Linked DNA regions of Notamacropus eugenii. The protein of the gene in region 2 binds, or shares a complex with, the protein of the main gene of each other region. Links are inferred from orthologs where the notes say so. Each region holds a gene or a part of one and is shown on either strand. Other genes may lie near its edges. The genes, in order: KANSL2 and PHF20.

Region 1 (9,965 bases), on a different chromosome or scaffold from region 2:
AGCCTTGGGGCAGCCTCACAGTTTAGGGGTAAGGCAGAGAGATAACAGCTAGATAGGGCAGGAGGAAATCCAAGAAAGAGGATAGTGCTATGGAAACCCAGAAAGTAGTGTGAATGCTGCAGCGTCATCCTGCAGCGTCAGTGCTGCAGAGATGAAGGATGAGGACTAAGAGAAGGTCCCAAGATTTGGGGTCCCAGTACGTGCATGTATGCATGTGCACAAACTCTTCTGAACTAAATTGTGAGCTTTTGGAGGGAAACACCTGTGTAATGCATCTTTGCATCCCCTACAGCAGCTAGTACAATGGTACTAATATAGTACCATTAAACGAATGAATGAGAAAAGCTCACTCAAAATATAATTTTGTAAGAAGCCTTCCTAGATTGGCTTACTTGTATTTCAGCATTTTTATCTTGCCATTCTGTACTTGCTAACATGTTACTTGGTAGTTACTCTCAAATTTTGTACCTTTTGACATATTAAGATCATAAAATCTCAGAGGGCATGAAATAGAACTTCTAATCCTTTCATATCCTACCCAAAGTGTGTGTCATTCTTCACACAATAGATACTCAAATTTTAATTAACTGTTAATTACAGGAAGAGAATTGAGAGGAAATGATCTTAAATTACACTATGAAAGGAGATTGAGAAGCAAGGATATTATTAACTCCTAATAACAATGTTTCATTGTAGTGTAGAAGTGATTCTGATTTTTCCAAAATATGTCTTTCATAGGCCAATATGCTCTTCAAGTTGGAAAATAACAGATCACATCCAACTAGCCAGTGATCCATGAAACAGAAAAAAATACTATAAAGGTCTTCAGTCCTGCAGGATTCCCTCACTCAGACATGACCCCAGTCAGGGCCTTCCATCACCTTTTGTCTGCACTACTGCAATAGCTTCCGACTGCTTATCCCTCCACCTCAAGCCTCTTCTCATTCCAACCCATCCTCCATTAAACTGCCCACGTGATATTTTTTAAAGCCCAAGTCTGATATGACCTTTTCATATCCCCCTTGCTGCTCAATGAGCCCAGTGGATCCCTATTTACCTCTGGAATCAAATATGATTGGCATGTAAAGCATCTATTTATAATCAGACTCCTTCCTATCTTTCCAGGTTTCTTTCATTAGTGTGGCCTACTTATTGTTTTTCCAAGGTAATGCTCCATCACCTACCTCTGTGCCTTTGCACTTACTGTTCCCCATGCTTAGAATACTGTCTCCTCACCTTAGCCTCTTAGTTTCCCTGGCTTCCTTTAAGACAGAGTTCAAGCCCTACTTCTTTAGGTGACCTTTCTCAGATGCTTTAGCTACTGGTCCCTTCCCTTTGGGATAACTTTCATCTACTCTGTACAGTAAATATCTCCTAGGTGCCTAGTTATTTAGATGTTGTCTTCACTAAAACGTACATTTCTGAAGGGCAGGGATTAATTTTGCCTTTCTTTGCATCCACAATATTCAGCACAATCCTTGGCACATAGAAAAACTTAATGTTTCTTGATGAACTGATGTTCAACACTGCCCTGAAATCACTGCAAAGTAACTTTAGTTAATTCATCATAAATAATCCCCACTAAAATTCATCAAACTTTTTCTGAGTCATCCAGTGACCCATTTATAACATCATTTCCATGTAACTAACTGCCCCACAACACTGTTTCATCTAACCTGGTGTTTACACAGAACATCACATTAGTTTGTTACTGCATTCTTGTAATTTTTGTGCCAAGAATACTTTTCCACCTTCTCCAACCCCCTTCTTCACCATTCCTTGATTAAAAAAAAAAAAATCACCTTAATGATATTTCCTGCTTTGAGCATACCTGTAAAATACTTCCTTTTTGTTCTTAGTAATTACAATTTCAGACAACACTCCATGCTAAGCTAAAAGTAACAGCTCTCAGAATGGGGCGGGAGCAAAGTTAAGCCTTTGCAATTAAAAAAAAATATTTTCTCAATAGAATTATGCTATGGGTGAGAATGACTGGTAAGGTAATTTTCAAGGACTAATATAAGTACAAGCCTCTGGACAATAAAGAAAAATATATGGCAATGAAGAAAAAAATCAGAAGGTTAATTTTCAAAAAGATCACTTAGCTTCACCTCATGATAGTGAAACCCTACGCAATAGCCAATGCAAATAACTAATCAAAGGAGAGACTGAATGAACTATATGGCTGAATCTATGCAAATAAATGAAGACTCAGAAAAAAGACATTTGTTTTGATACAGATGATGAGATTATCAAGATCAACAATTAAGGTATCTCGATCATAACTTCTGAAAAAAGTCTTAAAGATAATTAGCATTAGCAACATACGCAAATAAGGTACTATCTATATATATAAATATGTATGTGTATATATGTATAAATAAACATTTTGAGCACAGTACTTAATTTTACCGCAATCAGTTATGTCATTCACACTTTCCCAATACCAACCTGAGGATCATCTGGTTCAATCTTGAAGAAAAATACCTAAAAGTGTCTCAAGAACATGGCCATGCTTCTTTTACTCAGCTTGCCACCCCTATACGTTACCTACAGCCTATATATGAGGGACACTGAGTAAAAATGTAACAAGTGGATTACAAAGCCTGTACAGGAAAATAAGATAAATTCTCCAAACTAACTACAAATTCCTTACCATAAGGTGACTCACTATTTACATAACACCTTTCTGGGAAAGAGTTCAAAGCATTTCCTCACCTTATTTTCTACGAGCGTAAGAAGTGAAGGTTACCCCGGTGGTAAGACACACACAAAGACGGACAACGTTAGTCACATGGGCTCGTTATTAACAAAAGTTTGAGACACAGCAAACATTCTACCTCGCCTAATAAAACATTCAGCAGCTCCAGGGTCACTTTAGAAAAGCCAGCACCCACCGCCTTCAGCTCGCCGTCTCTACACCCCAAGGCACCACAACGGAAAAACCCCCACACCGCTCCCTCGTCAAACCCTCCCCCAAAACGAAGCCCGATCAAACAGACAAAAAGCCACAAACCCATCTTTCTTCTCGGGCTTGGGGCCGGCGTTGGGGCATCTCTTCCCATTCTTGGTGGATATGTAGCTACATTGCTTGAAAGGGGCATTCCTGTCTTCAAGGATATGCTTAATGCAAAACTCCTGCCCTTCGAGCCGGGGCTGGGAGCATGGGCGGTGTGAGAAGGAACAAGACAGCGGCTCCTGGGACCTGGGCACTGGGTTGACGCGCCCCCGATTCGATGGCAGGACGTGGATCCGAATTCTGTTCATACCAACACCTGCGGAGGGAAGAGGGGAGACACCGCACGCGGAGAGGTCAGGGTGCCCAAGCCGCCTCCGTGGCCCTTCCCCCACTCCCAGCCAAGCCCCGACATTCACAACTCAAGAAGCAGCGCTTCTCCTTTTAAGAAAAAGAACTAAGGTCAAAGCCTGTCTCACGTACCCCAAGCCGGCCTACTACGGGCCAGCCCCCGGAGTCTTGCCTGAACTACTCGAGAGCTCGGCTTCTCCCGCGGCTTCCCTTTCTCGAGGGGCCTCCACTACCACGCATGTGCGCTGGCTCGGCTGCCCGGGCCTCGCTCTCCCCAGCTCCCTTTCTTAAGAAAAAAACCAAGCCAGCTCTCGAGGATCTCGCCCGCCCTCCCCAGTCTCGCGAGGCCGGCTCCAGCACCGCGCCCTCGGGCTCCCTCCCCGCGGCTTTGCCCCGCCCCCCTGCCGAGCCCGACCCTCCCCCCACCCGGACCCCAGCCTGCCCACGGAGACTCCAGCGAACGCCATTTTGACCCAGGGATCAGGGAGTCCACAGAATCCTTTTCGAAGAGGGATGGGCCAGGTATGGGAAAAAAAGAAATTTTAAAGCCCCGTCAAAGGTCGCCGCCACCTAAGCTCAAGTCTCGGCCCCCGATGGAGCCGAAAGGAGAAAGACAAAGGTGCCGTCCGGCCACCAGAAGAGTAAACCAGCTGACGCCGCCATCTTACCTCTACGGCCTGGCTGCTAGTCCTCAAGTGGCGCCCCACCGCCCTCTAGCTCAGCTGGCCCCGCCCCCTAGCGGTCGATTGGCTCCTTGGCTGGAGGGTGCCGCCACACCATTGGCGGAATGCTCACGTCCGTCAGACCTGGGAGGGTGTTGCCCTGGGAGGAAATGGAGTGGGAGTGGGGGTGGGGGTGGCTGGAACGGATCGTTTCTCTGCCGTTAAAGCTGGTGGGAGGGTGAGCCAGAGAGGATCAAAGGTTCGCGGGCTTTTGAAGGTTCCGCGGAGCCCGCGCCGGCTATTAACTAGGTACCGGACTGCAGCAGGGACTTCCGTTGGGAGTTTCCCGAGAGGGAGGCGCTACATTGTAACTTCCCCTCGGCGCCACGTGGGCCTTAATAAAAGTTGGCCAAACGCTGTGTGTTGGCACGATCATCCACCCACCGTGACTGCAGACGGGCAGCCGCGTGCAGTGGGTAGAAACCCGGCCTGAAAGGTCGGAAGACCAGGGCGCAGGTCCCACTCCTGACATATTTGCGTGTGAGCCGAAACAAAGACGTCCAGATTCTCAGCCCTCTAGGCAGTATAAATAACCAAAAAAGAGGTTTCCCCCACAGGAATGGTCCCTGTCCATTCCGGTGCTCGGCTTGGTCCCATTATACTGCTCTGGGTCCTCAGTAAGATCCATGGGCACTCAAAAAGGCCGAGCACGCCACACAGAGAAAAAATGTAGATCAATAATGCAAATGATATTAATAATATTTCTGCAGCACAACATAATATCTCATTTGGTTTCCACGGTAACCCTGTGAAAGGAGGCACCACGACTACCTTCATTTTATGGACATCCGTGAAAGAAGCTCCTAACAGGGACCCTGGCCACCCTTTCCAGGTGAATTGGAATATTCCCCTTTCCTCCTTCCAGTCTCTCCTACCACCATCATTTAGCAGCTTTTCTTCTGAGGTTCATCCAGTCTATATCACCCAAAAGAGATTCTGGTGACTGCTGTCTTCTGACCTCCATGACACCTGGCTGCTTTCCAGGCTGCAAGCTGTTCCTTCCTCAGCTCCAGCCTCATACTAATGAACTTTGAACACATTGATATTGCCTTAAACACCCTAACCTCGAAATTCCTCTACTCATTTCCAATGACCAGTTGGTCCAGTGGCCATTTCCAATAATCATACCACCTTACCTCCACCCAGGGTTGGTCATGCCCTTCATCTTGCTATCAGGCATTCAATTTCTGTGCTTATGAGCCTGGAAATTCACTTCTCTGATTACCGTCTGTCATTCCAACTTCCCTTTGCCATCAGTTCATAACTATTCTTAATCCCATCCCTCTACTCCCTCCACCCCTCAGTTCTTTCCTAGGCCATCACCTCTAAACTGGCTACATTCCTGCACTATTTGTGAAGATCAAACAAATATAACTAAGGCGCTTTTCCCAAAAAACCTTGTTTCAGTGCTATATAAATTCAGCTAAAAATCAGGAAACATCACAACCCCTGAAAAATAAAAAGCTGTAGGTCATGTAAATGGCAATGGAGAGACTTTTGATGGGAATTAAGACACCATCCCAAAAATGCATGAACAGACAAGGAGGTGGGCTACTCTTAACAGCTGGAGAGTCTGAATGTTTCTAAGGTACACATAGGAGGTTAAAAAGGGCAAGAGGAGGGCACATTAGATTCCAATGAAAAATTTATAGGAAAATATGGACAAGATCTGCACAGGATGAAAGGACATGGAAAGGCTACAATCTGCATGATGGAGGAAGTGCCCACATTGGTAACAACATGGATCCACAGACTACACTCTTCCATTTGCCATGTATAAAGCCCTCCACAACCTGGTCCTCATGTACCTTTCCAGCCTTTTTATACATTGCCTTTTCTGCACACTGAAGCAATTCAAATAGCCCTTCCTACTATTCCTTACTGGTCGATAGCACTCCATCTCTGTGGAGCTGTCCTGGATACTGGGAATGAACTCCCTCCTCACCTCCAGGTCTTAGAATTCCAATTTTCTTCCAGCTCAGCTGAAGCTCCACCTTTTACATTTTAAGTGTGGGTTTGAAATTACTTCACCCCATTTTAGCTCTGATGCCTTAACTAGGTGAGAATACATATTAATAAATCAATCAAATCACTTCAACTAAATGTGAAAAATCATTGAAAGCTACTGGATGAAAGTGTAATAATGTCAAAAAGGAACTCAGTTCCAATAGGCTGGGGAAAATGGTTGTGCCTCAGGGATTGTCTATAAATTAGCAAGTGAGTTGAGAACATGTGGCTTTTCCAGCACACCTCTGATGAGCAAAGGCAGGAGAAGAGTGGAATATCCAGGCTGGGGGAAGTCACAAGAAAAACTCTCTTCTTTCCACAACATCATTCCCCAGTGCTTTTCTATTCATGTGACATAATTTCCTGTTTTCATTACCCAAAAGTTTCCAGTGTGCTGCATTTTGTCTCAATCACAAAGAGGTCAAGGGTTAACTAGAGATAGCTATAAATATAACATGAGGCAGAACTCCCAACATCTGCCTAAATGTTGGGAATTTTCCTAACTGGAGCCTCAGAAGGATAATAACTGAATTCATAAATTTTCCTATATTTCCTCAGGGGCCATTATATTGCTTCCTGGGCTTTAAATAAAGCTATCATTGTAACAGTGTTACAACATAAAACCAGTCAGTATCCCTTCCATCAACCTAATTAATTTGTATCTAATTTATATATACCTATATGTGTAGGGAAACATTGGCGATCAGTTGATGGTGGTGGATATGAAGTCCCTAGTACCCTAGTACCTCTTTGTATGAACCCTTGGAGTCATGGGGCTATGACTGTAACTGAAAAGGCAGTCTTTTTCCTCCATCCATCTTAAAGATAACAAGAAGCCAGAATCCCTGGAAAGGAAAGAAGTTTGTCAGGGGGTAGCCAATGATCCCAGAGCATGCTATAACAAACAAGAAAACCTTCAGCTGTGTGTGAAAGCAAGAGGGCTGCCACTGCACTTCACTCTTCTAATTCCACTCCCTCCACTGGGGCAACACAAGACTATTGTGGTTAGTTCTGGGTTTTGTTTTTTTCCACAAATTGAGCGAGATCTAGGTCTAAGGATAACATTGATATTGCAGCTGCTGCCGTAAGCAGGAGTGAAACGTGAAACTACCCAGAATCACTGCAGAAAATACTGCAGCTATCTTCATTTGAAAGGAATTACAGATGGTGGAATCCCCCTCTCCCTTCTATCTCCTGGGGAGATCCCAACATCATCTCTTTTCTTTAAGTTTATATTTATATTAAGTTTATATTAAGTTTATGTTTTAAATTTCTGTTCACCTGGTCTCTAAAGCCTTACATTAATATAAAACCAAGGTTAATCCAACACACTATGAATTTCATTTGCTCAGAACCATCCAGAGTGAAGTTATGGTCAACACAGATTGAGAGAAGGAAACTCTAAATTGCCAGAGATTTATTTGGTGGGATCTTGGAACAAAACCAAAGAGATTTTTTTTTTAAAGGCATTATTTCAATTCCTCAAAGCAGAGAAACAGATTAAGCCACATAATTTTTTTCCAGACTATCAAGGATTCCCCTGGGTACAAATGAGTTAATAGAATTAGAGGGGAAGAGTCTTTGTAAACTGAAGCTTTCTCCAGAGAAGGTTTGGGAGGGCCTTGGACAATTTTCCTTTCCTATTGGTTTCCGTTCATACAGCAGGTTCAAGGAAATACCCATCCTTGTCTCAACTTGGCAGAAGGCTAGGTTAGAGTTAAGACTGAAAGGAGACGTTGGGAGGGGGTGGGAGGTGGAGAGAGTGGAATGGCTGTATTCACTGAAAGTAAAGGAAGGTCAGATAGAGGGAGGAACTAGTTCTTTTCAGTCCTCATTCCAGCCCCCATAGCCACAAGTGAAATCTTATCTTGGGATCTTTTTTCTATTTTTAACTTTTAATTTTTTTCTCCACTTGGGCGTTTAAATATTTTATTAGTTCTTTCCACTTGCTTCTTTTAAGCAGAATTCTGTGGTATTATTGTTACTGAACATCTTATTTTTGATCATTTTTATTGTTCATTTTCATGCTCATTTCAATTTCCCTTTGTTGATTTGAAACAATTTAATTTAGCTCACTGGTTTAGCCATTATTGGGGAAAGTTGTCTGTTAGATTTTATAATTTTAACACATTCCTCCTGTACACTCTTCTTTTTGTGATATTTTCTGCATCATTTCTGTCTTGTCTTTTCTGTCACTGAATTTTTTAATTTGATTTTTGTTTTAACCTATTTCTGTATTTAGTTTTTTTGTATTGTTTTTAGTTTTTTATTCCCTTTGAACCCTCTGTGCCAATTCTTCTATCTGTTGTATGTACAATGTAAGGCTACTATTTAATAATCCTAACTGCAACATTTAGTGGTATGTAGTTGCGTGTCAGCTGGCAAATGGAAGGTTATTAATGTCGTTCCTGATAATTTGCATATTTGTCCTTTTATTCGGTGCTACATCTCAGTTGAGAAGCAGCATAGTGTAGTGGATAGAATAGTGATCCTGCCTCAGACATTTGCTGGCTGTGTAACCATAGGCACATAACCTCAGCTCCTCATCTGTAAAATGAGAGCGTTTGATTAAATGGCTTCTAAGGTCTCTTTCAGATATAAATCTATGGTCCTATGAATTCTCCAGAGCATCGCTTTGTAGAATCACTTAAGGTAGAAGACTGTATGACCGGCTTGTTTGTGGGGAGGCCTAATGGAAGGAAGGCTTGGGGATGTGGATGCTCCCTGCATTAGTGATGTGTGTCAACTTCTTTGTTACCAAGGTGGATTTGGCTTTCTGGTATCTGAATAAATATCTTGGTTTCATCTTTGAGGAAGAGAGTTATTTATATTTTGTGAATTTACGCTAGAAATATGCATGCAATATTCATAGTGGCTGCTATGGATATTGCATTGGCATTATATGACTCCACATGTATAATTGATATTGTAATGCTTGCCTTCTCATGGAGGGGAGGGGTTGGAGAGGCAGAATTTGGAACTCAAAATTTTAAAAAATGAATGTTAAATCTTAAAAATTAATAAACAATTTTAAAAGATAAAATTGCAGTTAATCCAATACATTATTGGTTGGTATGGATTTTATTTGTTAAAGAGCAGTTAAGAGGAGGAATATTTTTGATTATATTGAGAGAAAGAAGAATTCCCTGCTGGGAGTTCTAAATGAACCAAAGAGACAATTTATAAGTATTATTTTAACTTCCAAAGCAAGGAAAAGATTAAGCTACAAGAATCTACTCTGTTATAGATTCTCCTGAGCACAGATGAGTGAACTGTGTTAGGAAGGAGGGAAGTTTCTAAGGAGAAATCTTCTCTCAAAGCTCCTCTGAGGAAATAGACTTGGGCAATTTTCCTTTCCTATTATTGTTCCATTTACACAGTAGACTCGAGGAAATTCTTCCTAGCTCTGTCCCTCACCACTTCCCCACCCCACCCCCAGACTGAGGCTGGTGAACAGTACAAAAGTTGGGTATGTTAGAAACATAGTAAAGGTTAGAAACAAAAGGTATCAAGCAAAATTTATTACAGCAGAGTTCAGAGGAACTGAACACCTCTGGCCAAAAGTAGGCTCAGTCCCTCTTTAGGAAGGGAGAGCACTAAATACAGAAGTAAGATGAGCTATATACTGTTAGTTCAGGACAGATCCTCCCATCAGGAGATGGATTGGTCCATTCTCCATTAGGTCACCATCTTCTCTACATGCCTATTACATATCTCCTGGATATGTTCCCCCCCCCCCCCAACATATGAATTGTGCCTAATTTTGTGCTATCTCTCCCCCTTGGGCAGAGAAGTTAATATACATGAGGTTCATTAAGCAAGTGCAGTGAAGCAAAGCTTTCTCCTGGTCATTCTTGGTCATTTTCCTCACCTGGTTTAGGCTGCTTTCAAACTTGGTCCCCTTTATCAAGAACTTTGTGATTTTCTGA
Region 2 (9,952 bases):
GCCTCATGTGAAACTAATGGTCCAGAGAAGAGAAGCTGCTCCAGAAGAGCAGTTTGGCAGAGATCTGACCATGGAATAAGATTGTTTTCAACAAAGGATCACTATACTGGGAAATAGTAGAAAGTAGGAAAAGGAAGAACTAAGAGATTTCTCCAATAGAATTACAGACAGCTTGCCACATTGCTATTTTCTTTCTCTGAGTCCATTTCCTCACCAGTAAAATTAATGGGTTAGACTAGACAATCTCTAAAGTGCCTTCTCAGGTTCTGACCCTGTTTTTTTTCTTTCTCATTCTGAACTCCATGTTCTCATGAACAGGGGAGGGTGCCACTGTCTCTCTTAAGAAATTTCACTTTCCTGTAAAGCATTAGAAAGCTAATATATCAAATACCCTTCAATATAGAGCTTTCTAGTTCCCTTTCTTCTCAACTGGCTTCATTTCTGTGCCAAACTCTCACAAATTCAGAAGACCCTCTTGGGAAGTGCTGCCTGTTCATCTGTCAAATATGGAAGGGTGATGGTCCTATGCCACACAGAAGAATGTTGAGAAATCAAAAACAGTCCCCAAACAGTTCATTATTCCCAAGATGTTGGCCTCCACAAAATTTACTATTAGAGAAATAAAAATACACAAAATTTTTGTAACTTATGACAAAGAATAATTTTATTAACTGACTTTAACATAATAAAATGTATTGAGATATAGTGTCACTGTATTATACAAAAGGAAATATTTAGACGTTTTACAATTTTGACAGCACTCATGGCAAACTATTAGAGAACTTTTGACTGATTTTTCTAAAACTAAGTAGAAGTGGATTAGTCAGAAAAGGAGAAAAAACAATTGCTAACTCCTATCTTACCTTATCTCTACCATCTAATATCTAACAAAAAAAACTGGCCTTTGTAAAGTGCTTTAAGGCTAGAGCATCCCATAATAGAGAAGAAATACAGAATGGCTTAATCCACAGATTTAAGTCAGAGACAGAATCCAGAGGCACTTTTCATACATAATACTTTATCAGTCATGGCTCAGAAATAACTAAAATATAACACCACTCTTCCCTAATGATGTAAGTGATCTGATTTAAAATTTCAATTTATTATAATTTACGGTTATATGGTCAACATGCACATATAACCCACATTTTATTAATATGCCATTTCAGAATATTAATTCTGAAAATACTGGTTAATTTAAAGTTTTTTATAGTTTCTTATAAGATTGGGGAGAAAGCAGGCAAAGAAGGGAAGAAACTAAGAATGCTGGAGGAATATTTTACTAAAATACAGGAAGCTTTCACCATCTCTGAAGAGGTAGGGTCTTAATGGGAAAAGGGAGGTGGAGGCAAACTGGCCAGCAAACGGCAAAGGAATCTCGTCACAGCCAATACTTCATATTCCTCCAATGTAGAAGATGAAATGTTATCCCGAAGTTGTCCAGGGGTGAAACTGGACAAGCTGCCGCCAAATGGCACTTCTGGGATTTCTTCCTGGTGAGAAGGGGCAGAGGACACGTGGAGAAGAGCCCAGTATGCAAGATGCTGGGCTAGAGAATCTGAGATTTCGTAAAAATCCAGGTGAAGGAAGCAGGGATGGCTTCCCACCACAGATGGGTGGGGAGAAGAGTGGCTCTTCCCAACTCCAATCGTTTCAATTCCGAATGAATCTGAGCTCGGAGAGCAGCTCGTCCTTGACTCCAGACCGCCTCGGGCAGCATAGAGGCAGTTACCTCAACCCAGCAGGGGGCCCGGGCTGGAGCTGCGGCCAACCTGGACTGCCTACACCTAGCAGGGCACCAGGGCGGAGAAGCCAGAAAGGGGCCCTGCTCCGCTCTGGAAATCACGGGGCTCGGAGGTTGTCTGCGTTTCCCCAGAATCACTGTGAGCGGGGGCCACGGAATGGGGGGGAATGTAGTCCCAAAAAGGAGGGGGGAAAGGGGAAGACCTGAGAAACAGACGGGGATGCATTTCCCCGCCAAGGGCAAGTGCTAAGCAAAGACGGGCCACTTCTAGGAGGAAAAGGGGATTAGCAAAAGGGGAGGCGCACTTCGCCGTGCGGAAAAGAGCTTAGGAAAGAGGGGGAAGCACTTCCTCTATGAGAAAGAGATGGGGGGGACCGCACTCCTCCAATAGAGGAAAGGGGGGAAGCACTTCCCCGCCCGAAAAAGGACTGAGCCAAGGGGGGGCACACTCCTCCCACGAGACAAGTAAAGGGAGCGCACTCCCCCATGGGGAAGAAGAGTGAAGGGGGGGCACATTCCCTCCTGGAGCAAAGAGGGGTGCACCGCCCGCGAAGGGGCAGAGGGGAGCCAAGGGAGGGGGGGAATCTTCCCGAGCCGAAGCTGCACACAACAGATGCGGGAGGGAAGTGGCCCCGCTCGGCCGTGGCCCCCTCCCCCCGCCAGCCAGCCCCGCGCTCCGCTCCCCGCGGCGCCGCGTACCAGCCCCCATCGGGGCGGCGCCGATTGGCCGAGCCCGCCGTCAGTCCCCCCGGCGCCCCGGAGATTGGGCGCCGCTCTCACGCCGCCACGCTCCCGGCAGAAGTGCCCTGGCCTCCGCGGTGCGGGTGGGCAGCGGGATTGGGCGGAGGGAAGCCAGGGGAGCCTCGGGCCCAGAGTTCCAGAGCTCATCCCCCACCCCCGCCCCCCGCCCCCACCCCGCAGGCGGCCAGGCCTCCCATCCTGGCCGCGAGCTCACCTCACGGCCCCGCTCCGGCTGCGCCGCTCCAGGACCAACGGACAGAAGACGACTGCGTGCTCGGCATCACGTGACCTGCGAGGGGCGCGCCCAGCCTTCCCCCCCTCGTTCTCTCCGCTCCTCCCCTCCCTACCCCCCACCCCAAGCACCGCCACCGCTATGTGACGCAGCTCCTTCGGCCCACGCGCCCGATCCTCCGAAGGAGCCCCGCCCCCCGCCCCCTTTTCTCCCCCCACTTCACTTTCCTCGCCTGGTCCCTCACCTTCCCCAAACCCGCGCCGCGACTCCCGGAGTTGCCATGGAGACCCTCCTTCCCAGCGCAGTTCGGAGTCCCACTCGACGCCACAGAATGTGCAAAGTGGACGTCCTAAAAAAACCCAAGTCCAGCCGTGAAACCACGAATAGTGGGCACGACACGGCGCTCTGAAGTGTGTGGCCAAAGCCCCGTGAATCGGACCGCGCGATTCGGATACCTGGGACTGGAGAGATGAGAACTCGCTCACATCCAAGTCACCCTAAATTCACAGCGCTTTGTGAAGTGGACCTTCCTCGAAACGCCGTCGTGGATAAACCAAATCATTGTCCCCGTGTCGGGCAACTAAGTCTCAGTTCTTCCAGCCCTAAATCTCGTTGCACCCCATAACAAATTCGCGAGGTAACTGGACCCATGATGTGTATGCCCTCAGCTTTACAAAATGCTGTTTGAGCCTTACGCAGCCTTGCTAAGGCGTTCCTGGCTCTACCGTCTGTTTCACTAATGAGAAAGCTCTCGGAGGTTAAGTTCATGACTGCTTAGGACTGCCCAGCTGGCCAGCTGGAGGCTTCCGGGCTAACCCGAGAGTCTAGGACCATCCTGATGTACAAGATCCAGTGTGCATCTGAAAGTGTAACTGAAGGGAGCTGGGGATACAATGTTAAGATGTTGCCAGTTTCTTGGTTTGTCCTGACTTTGACAGGTCACTGAGTCAGTGGTGGAGATGTCACGGAAAGGCAACAGAGCCAATTAGTCTTTCCGAAGGTTCTCACAGCCCGGGGATGTGGGTTAGTGCACAAAAAGATAATTAAAAGCTCCACACTCCTTTACATCTTACAAAGCAAAACTTTCCTCGCACCCTGTGAAGGAAGCTCCAATCATTCTCATCCCCACTCTATAGAGGAGGAAACTGAAGCCCAGGGAGGTTTTTTGATCTAGACATGTCCACCCAGCTAGTAAATGACAAAACTGGAACTAAAACCCAGATTTGTTTCTTGAAAAAACTAATTTTATTTTTTGTTTCTAATTCAGTTCAACAAACATTTACTAACACTACTTATATTTCAGGAACTGGATACCAAAGGCTAGGGATACAAAGACAAAATGGTCTCTTCCCTAAGGAGTCTACAGACTAGTGGGGGAAAGCAGCATGAATATAGAAAATTAAATTCAAATTGTATACAAATTTCAGAGGAAGATATCTAGGTCAATGAACTTAATTTTACAATGATCTTATAATGGCTGCACAGTAAAATGTTACATTTGAAGTTGGATGTTTTATTCAGATACTTAAGTAGAACCTGATCACTTAGTTTATAAGCCTTTGGACAAGTCATTTAACTCTCTGAGCTTTGGGTTCCTAATAAAACAAAAAGAATTGAAAAACATGTTCTCTAAGGTTCTTTCAAGTCCTTAAATATTATTGATTCTACAAGATCCATCTTCTTTTTAAAAACTGATCTCTTGTTTTTGCATCTCCTTCATTTTTGATATGTCCCTGCCATAATGAGTATCCAGAGAGTCATCTCTTGAAACAAAAATTAGAAAAGGAGGGCAGGGAGCATTTCAGTAAAACTAACCAATTTGTTCACCAAGTCTGACAGTATATACAATGATCCACACCCATAGTTCTCCACCTCTGTAAAGAAGGAAAGGAAGTACATTTTCCCATTTCCTCTTTAGTGAGAAGCTTGGTCACTATAATTAGTGTTTTGACCATATGTTGTGTGATAGTTATCGAGTTTCTTTTTATTATGACTTGTATGTAATATGAGCCATTTTGTATTTACATTTGTTCTTCCTGTTTATATTATTGTCGTCATTGTGTATATTGTTTTCCTAATTCTGCTTTCTTCACTCTGCATTACTGAGACTCTTTTTTTTTTAAAGATAGTTATCTTCTGACTCAAACTAAACAGTTATCTCCTCCATGTCATACCCAACAAGTGGTCATGCAGTCTTTGCTAAAAGAACTTGAATCAATGCATTACTCCTCCCAGTAACCCATCCTTAGACAGTTCTAGTTAATTACTAGGAATTTCTTTCCTACATCAGACCTAAATGTTCCTCTTAATGTGCTTGATTTAAGAAAAAAAAATCTTCCTAACCATCAGAGCTATCTAAAAGTGGAATGGCTTCCTTGAGAGGTGAGAAGGTATGTCAAGTTACTTTGCTTTTGCTTCCTCAGAATTATCAAATTTTGCCTCCAAGGACTCCAGTGTGAGCAGTATCCTGAAGATATTTTTTCTCCCTTACTAGCTTACAGTATCAACTGTAATATCAATTCTACTAGGTACTTAACTCTCCCACTGATATTGATCTTGTATACATCCTACTTAATGGAGCTGTGTTAAAGGATTCTCATTTTGTAAGGTCAGTAATCTTAAGCACAATCGGAGAATGTCATACTTGTTGCTCAGAATCCCTGAGAGAACTCTTCTTTGAAATGCTTTATAGGGTTTCATATATGGTGTTGTGGAAAAAGTGCTGGACTTAAGAGTTGGGAGAGCCTTGAATCCAAATCCCACTTTCTAAACTTAGTAATTAGGTAGACCTAAAGTAAGGAAAACCTGAATTCTAATTTTGCCCTAAGACACTCACTAGCCACATTAACAATGAATAATTCCTTCATAAGCCTAGGCCTCAGTTTCCTGTGCAAAATGAAAGTGATAATACTTTTCTCTCATAGCATGAGATGTTTACAAATATTATAGAAGTTATTATTTGTGCCATCTTAAGATTCATTATCAATAGATTCTTATTAAGGTTAATTAAAAACAAGTTTTTGACAATATATTGTGTGATAGTTATCAGGTTTCTTTTTATTATGACTTGCATGTAATATGAGCCATTGTTATCATAAAGTCAGGATAAAAATGTTCTTTTTTTCTATGACTTTCTCCTGTACTAGCTCTTATCATTCCTTCAAAGTTGCTAGCTAGCAACTTCAGCACCCAGAGCAAGCATTAAGAAATTCAGTCAATTTAGATTGGGGGGGGGGGGGGGCCCATACATCCACAGAGAGGCAAGGACACTGCTGGAGAAGGGAAAATAGGGTGATGGGAGATACTCAACTGGGTTATGCCATCTCCAGGGTGAGGAAATAGGAAAGATCCTATTCTAATTAATGTAACCAGTGGCCAAAGGCCCTACAAGCTCTGTAATCAAATGCTTAAGTCCACTCTTAACATCTTCCCCCTAAAGATCACATTTTCTTTGACTCTGTGTGCCTCATCCAGTTTACTCTGTAAAATCTCCCATGTCTAAGTTTCTAAAAATGTAATGTGTTCCCTTGCTTGTACTTTAAGGAGCCTAGAGTGCTGACCACAAAACATACCTTCACATTCTTCCTCTTACCCCAAAAGCCTCCCAACTGCATGATTGAATACCTCTTTAAGAAAGCACAGACTGGAGACACAGATACCAGATGATATAAAAAGAGTAATGATTTACAAAGTAAAAGTTTAGATTTATGTTATTTCCTTTGAAACTTAGAATCAAAGGATTAAGCAAGAAGCATCTTAGATTTGGGGCTTTTTTTTGGTCTTTGTTTAGGGCACATTCATCAATGTAGTATTTTTCCAAATTGCCAAAGTCTTCTAGGTACACTGAGAAGTGATTTAAGGGTGCTATAAACTAAGGCTTCGATAATCAGAAAACTTGTTTCTTCCTCTAGATAACATTAATCCAGTACCATAAAGCTCAATTCTGAGTCACCTTGGTTCTTCACAATTGCAGAAAAGGATCTATAGTTAAAAGAGGACAGGATTTGGAGTAAGAGAAAACATGTTCAAAACTCAGTTCTACTACTTACTACTAATTGTGTGACTGTGAGCAGGGAACTTTACCCTATATTATATGTAAAATAAATAATTAAGATGCCCTATTTAAATAAATGAGGTGAGCAGATGTCCTTGCTTAGATTGTAATTATATGCATCTATTTTGGGGAAAAAAAGAGAAAGTTGACAGTCAATCAAATAGCACTTATCAAATATGTTATGTGGCAGAAACTGTGATAGGCAACGTGAACTACAAAGAAACAATTCCAACTCTCATGGAACTATCAGAGGAGAAAATATTTGTGTGTGTGTGTATATATATGTATACACATACATGTACGTGTGTATATATGTATGTATACATGCATGTGTATGTGTGTATGCACACATACATACATATTACAGATGCAGATATACCTAGAATAAATGCAAAATAAATACAAAAGTAGTTTGGGAGGGAGGACCCTGGCACTAGTAGATGGCAGTATGAGAGTTAACTTATTATTCAAATAATTCATCTCTTGCCTTGGAACTAGCTGACTCTCCATTCCTGGAATGATCTCCTTCCTCACCTCTGCCTCTTGACATGCTGGCTTCTTTCAAAATTCAGCTTGAACATCACCTTCTGCAGGAGGCCTTCTTGATACATACTCTGTGTGCCCCCCCCCAACTCTAAATGCACCATCCCCTTCCCCTCAATTTCAGCCACACCTCTTATTCTGTATGAAGTAGGTGTTATGACTATAAGCATTTATATGACTCTCTCACCAGTTTGTGTAAACTCAGGGCCTCCTGGACTATTTCTGCCTTACTTAGCACCTCCAGTACTTAGTGGCATACCTAGGGTATAGTTAGCACTTAAAGTTTGTTGATTTAAAAGGTTTTGTAGAACTTGAGATGATTCTACAGGGAAGGGTCGAATTCTATGAAGGGGAAAAGGGAATGTATTACAAACTTGAAATAGCCAGGGCCAAGAACCAGGAGTGACATAAGCGTAAGGCACAGGAAGACCAATCTGGTTTTTTCATAGAAACGCAGTTTTTAAAAGCCATAGTTTATATGAATCACAGAGATAAAAAGGAACCACAGAAGCTTGAGTAGGTCAGTGACATGGTCAAATGACACACTGCAGATCTGTGCTCAAGGAAAATCATTCTGGCTAGCTGCGAGGGTTTGGGTTGAGAGACTGGGGGTAATATTTAGTGAAAGGCCATCGCCATAACCAAATCGAGGTGATCGATGAGAGCCTGAACCGGGGCGGTGGCTATTTTAGGAAGCAAACAGATTCGGAGATGTTGCAGAAGTAGAAGGTACAAGATCAGGCAATAATTAGATACTTGGAATGAAGAAGGAGGGAGGAAAATGCTGAGGTTATGGATAGTTTGGAAAAGATATCTGGGTTTCCGGGAAAGATAGTTTTGTTTGGGAATCACCGAGTCTGAGATATCTCTGACATCCAGTCTGAAACACCCAATGAGCCAAAGCTGTTTTCCTTCCTTTTACACTCTCCTGCTCCAGAACGCTGAGTAACATTTCCAATAAGGAGCCGGATGCCTTAGGAAGAGGAGGAAGGGAAGGGGGTTATTGCCAATAAAATCAGTACAACCGCATCACCTTTACACAAAGTCACCAGTCAGTTTCCTCCAACACTGAATTCACACAAAATATTAACTGCAGTTAAACCCTCCTCGTTGGGAGGAGGCGGTCTGTTTTGAAGAGGGAAGCCACATTTACTTGGCAACTAAAACTACGTAAAGAGGTGTTCTTTTCTTAAGTTTTTGCCTAGAGACTGGCCAGAGGAAAATCTGTGGACGGGGTCAGCGGGGAGGAAGCGGGAGGAGAGGCGGGGCACAGGTGGACACAAGCCGCCAAGGCCTTCCTTCTTCCGCAGAAAGGTTTAAAGAGCTCGGGGAGCTTCCTGCCGGAGCAGCAGAAAGAGCGCTGTTCTCCGGCGCCGCCGCCCAGCCCCAGGGGGCCCCTCGAAAGGGACCCGACTGGGACCGCCGCCAGGTGCCGCAAGCTAGTGACAAAGCTAAGCGGCGCAGAGCCTCCTCGCGCGTCCCTCGGCTCTCGGCTCTCGCGCGCCCCCTTCCCCCGCCCCGGTTCTCGCGTGCCCTTCCCTCCCCCCCACCCCCGTCAGCTCTTCTTTCCCATTAGTCTTCCTGCCTTGCTCCTCATCCCCACTGGGATTTCACTGGCTAACGGGGAAAAAATGGTCTTTTTAGCTTAAGACCACACGGAGCTCTGGCCGTACAGTTTATCTGGAGAGCAAGGAATCGGATGGGGAAAGAACTCCCGCCACCCTGGTCCCACCCCTCCCCCACTCCAAGCTGGGTGGAGCCCAGCGGCGGTAAAACACCGTTCGCCTTGGGGGGGTCTCGAAAAAAGATGGACTACAACCTAGCCAACAGACTTTCTACTAGTCGCGCCTTTCCTTTCTCGCGAGATTTTCACCCTCCCCAGGATGGGGTGGGTGGGAGGGAAGATTTAGAGTCTGTCTTTCTAGGGGGAGGAGACGGGGGAGGGAGGAGAGGGGCACGTCTCTGGCGCAACTCTTGCGCGAGATTGTGCAGCAGCTTCTTAGCCGCTGTAACTTCTCGCGATACTTCATTGGGTCAGCGCGGTGGCCGGAGAAGTTTCTCGCGAGAGCCCGTGCTGGGGGCGCTGTGTGGCCCCGTCTGTGTGTGTGTTTGCGTGTGTGTATATGTGTGTTCGTGAGTGTGTGTGACTGGGAAAGCAGCGGCCGCCATTTCAGGGAGTTGCAGTCACTGTCGCACGGTTGGATACCGATTTGCCGCAAGCCGCCGCCCTGCTTCACCCGCGCGGGCTCTTCTAATCCCATTATTCTCTTTTAGATCCGCTCCGGCCCTGCCGCCCTCAGCGCCCGAAACTCGGGCTGGGCGGGCGGGACGGACCGCGGCCTGGGCCCAGGCCGCAGCGGCTTAACAGTAGCCCCGGCGGCAGCCACAGCGGCGGCGCCTCCCCGAGACGCGAGCACCACACTTGCTTGAGAGCCCGCACAGGTAAGCGGGCTCGGCGATAGCTTTGTTAACTCTCCGTTTCGCTAGCCTTTTTTTCCTTCATGCACGGATCCGGCCCCGCCCGGGGGCCCAGGGAACTCGGATTCCCTCCGGCCGCGCCGAGCCGCCGGGGTGGCCTCGGAGGGGAAGAGGGAGGGGGAGGGGTGGCCTCGGAGGAGCCGGCGAGCTGAAGGGAAGG

The links.
Region 1: PHF20 (region 2) and KANSL2 share a complex: the UniProt entries of both Homo sapiens proteins name them as parts of the NSL complex. The link is inferred for Notamacropus eugenii from reciprocal best matches to the Homo sapiens genes PHF20 and KANSL2.

The regions. Positions count from the first base shown.
Region 1 is NC_092874.1:220,435,525-220,445,489, forward strand, and holds the start of KANSL2 (KAT8 regulatory NSL complex subunit 2), read right to left. Parts: upstream 4,063-9,965; 5' UTR 3,976-4,062; intron 3,667-3,975; exon of another isoform or gene 3,440-3,666; intron 3,371-3,439; exon of another isoform or gene 3,276-3,370; 5' UTR 3,268-3,275; coding exon 3,017-3,267; intron 1-3,016. UniProt on the Homo sapiens protein: Non-catalytic component of the NSL histone acetyltransferase complex, a multiprotein complex that mediates histone H4 acetylation at 'Lys-5'- and 'Lys-8' (H4K5ac and H4K8ac) at transcription start sites and promotes transcription initiation.
Region 2 is NC_092872.1:419,729,601-419,739,552, reverse strand, and holds the start of PHF20 (PHD finger protein 20), read right to left. Parts: upstream 4,334-9,952; 5' UTR 3,173-4,333; intron 2,787-3,172; exon of another isoform or gene 2,700-2,786; intron 1-2,699. UniProt on the Homo sapiens protein: Methyllysine-binding protein, component of the MOF histone acetyltransferase protein complex.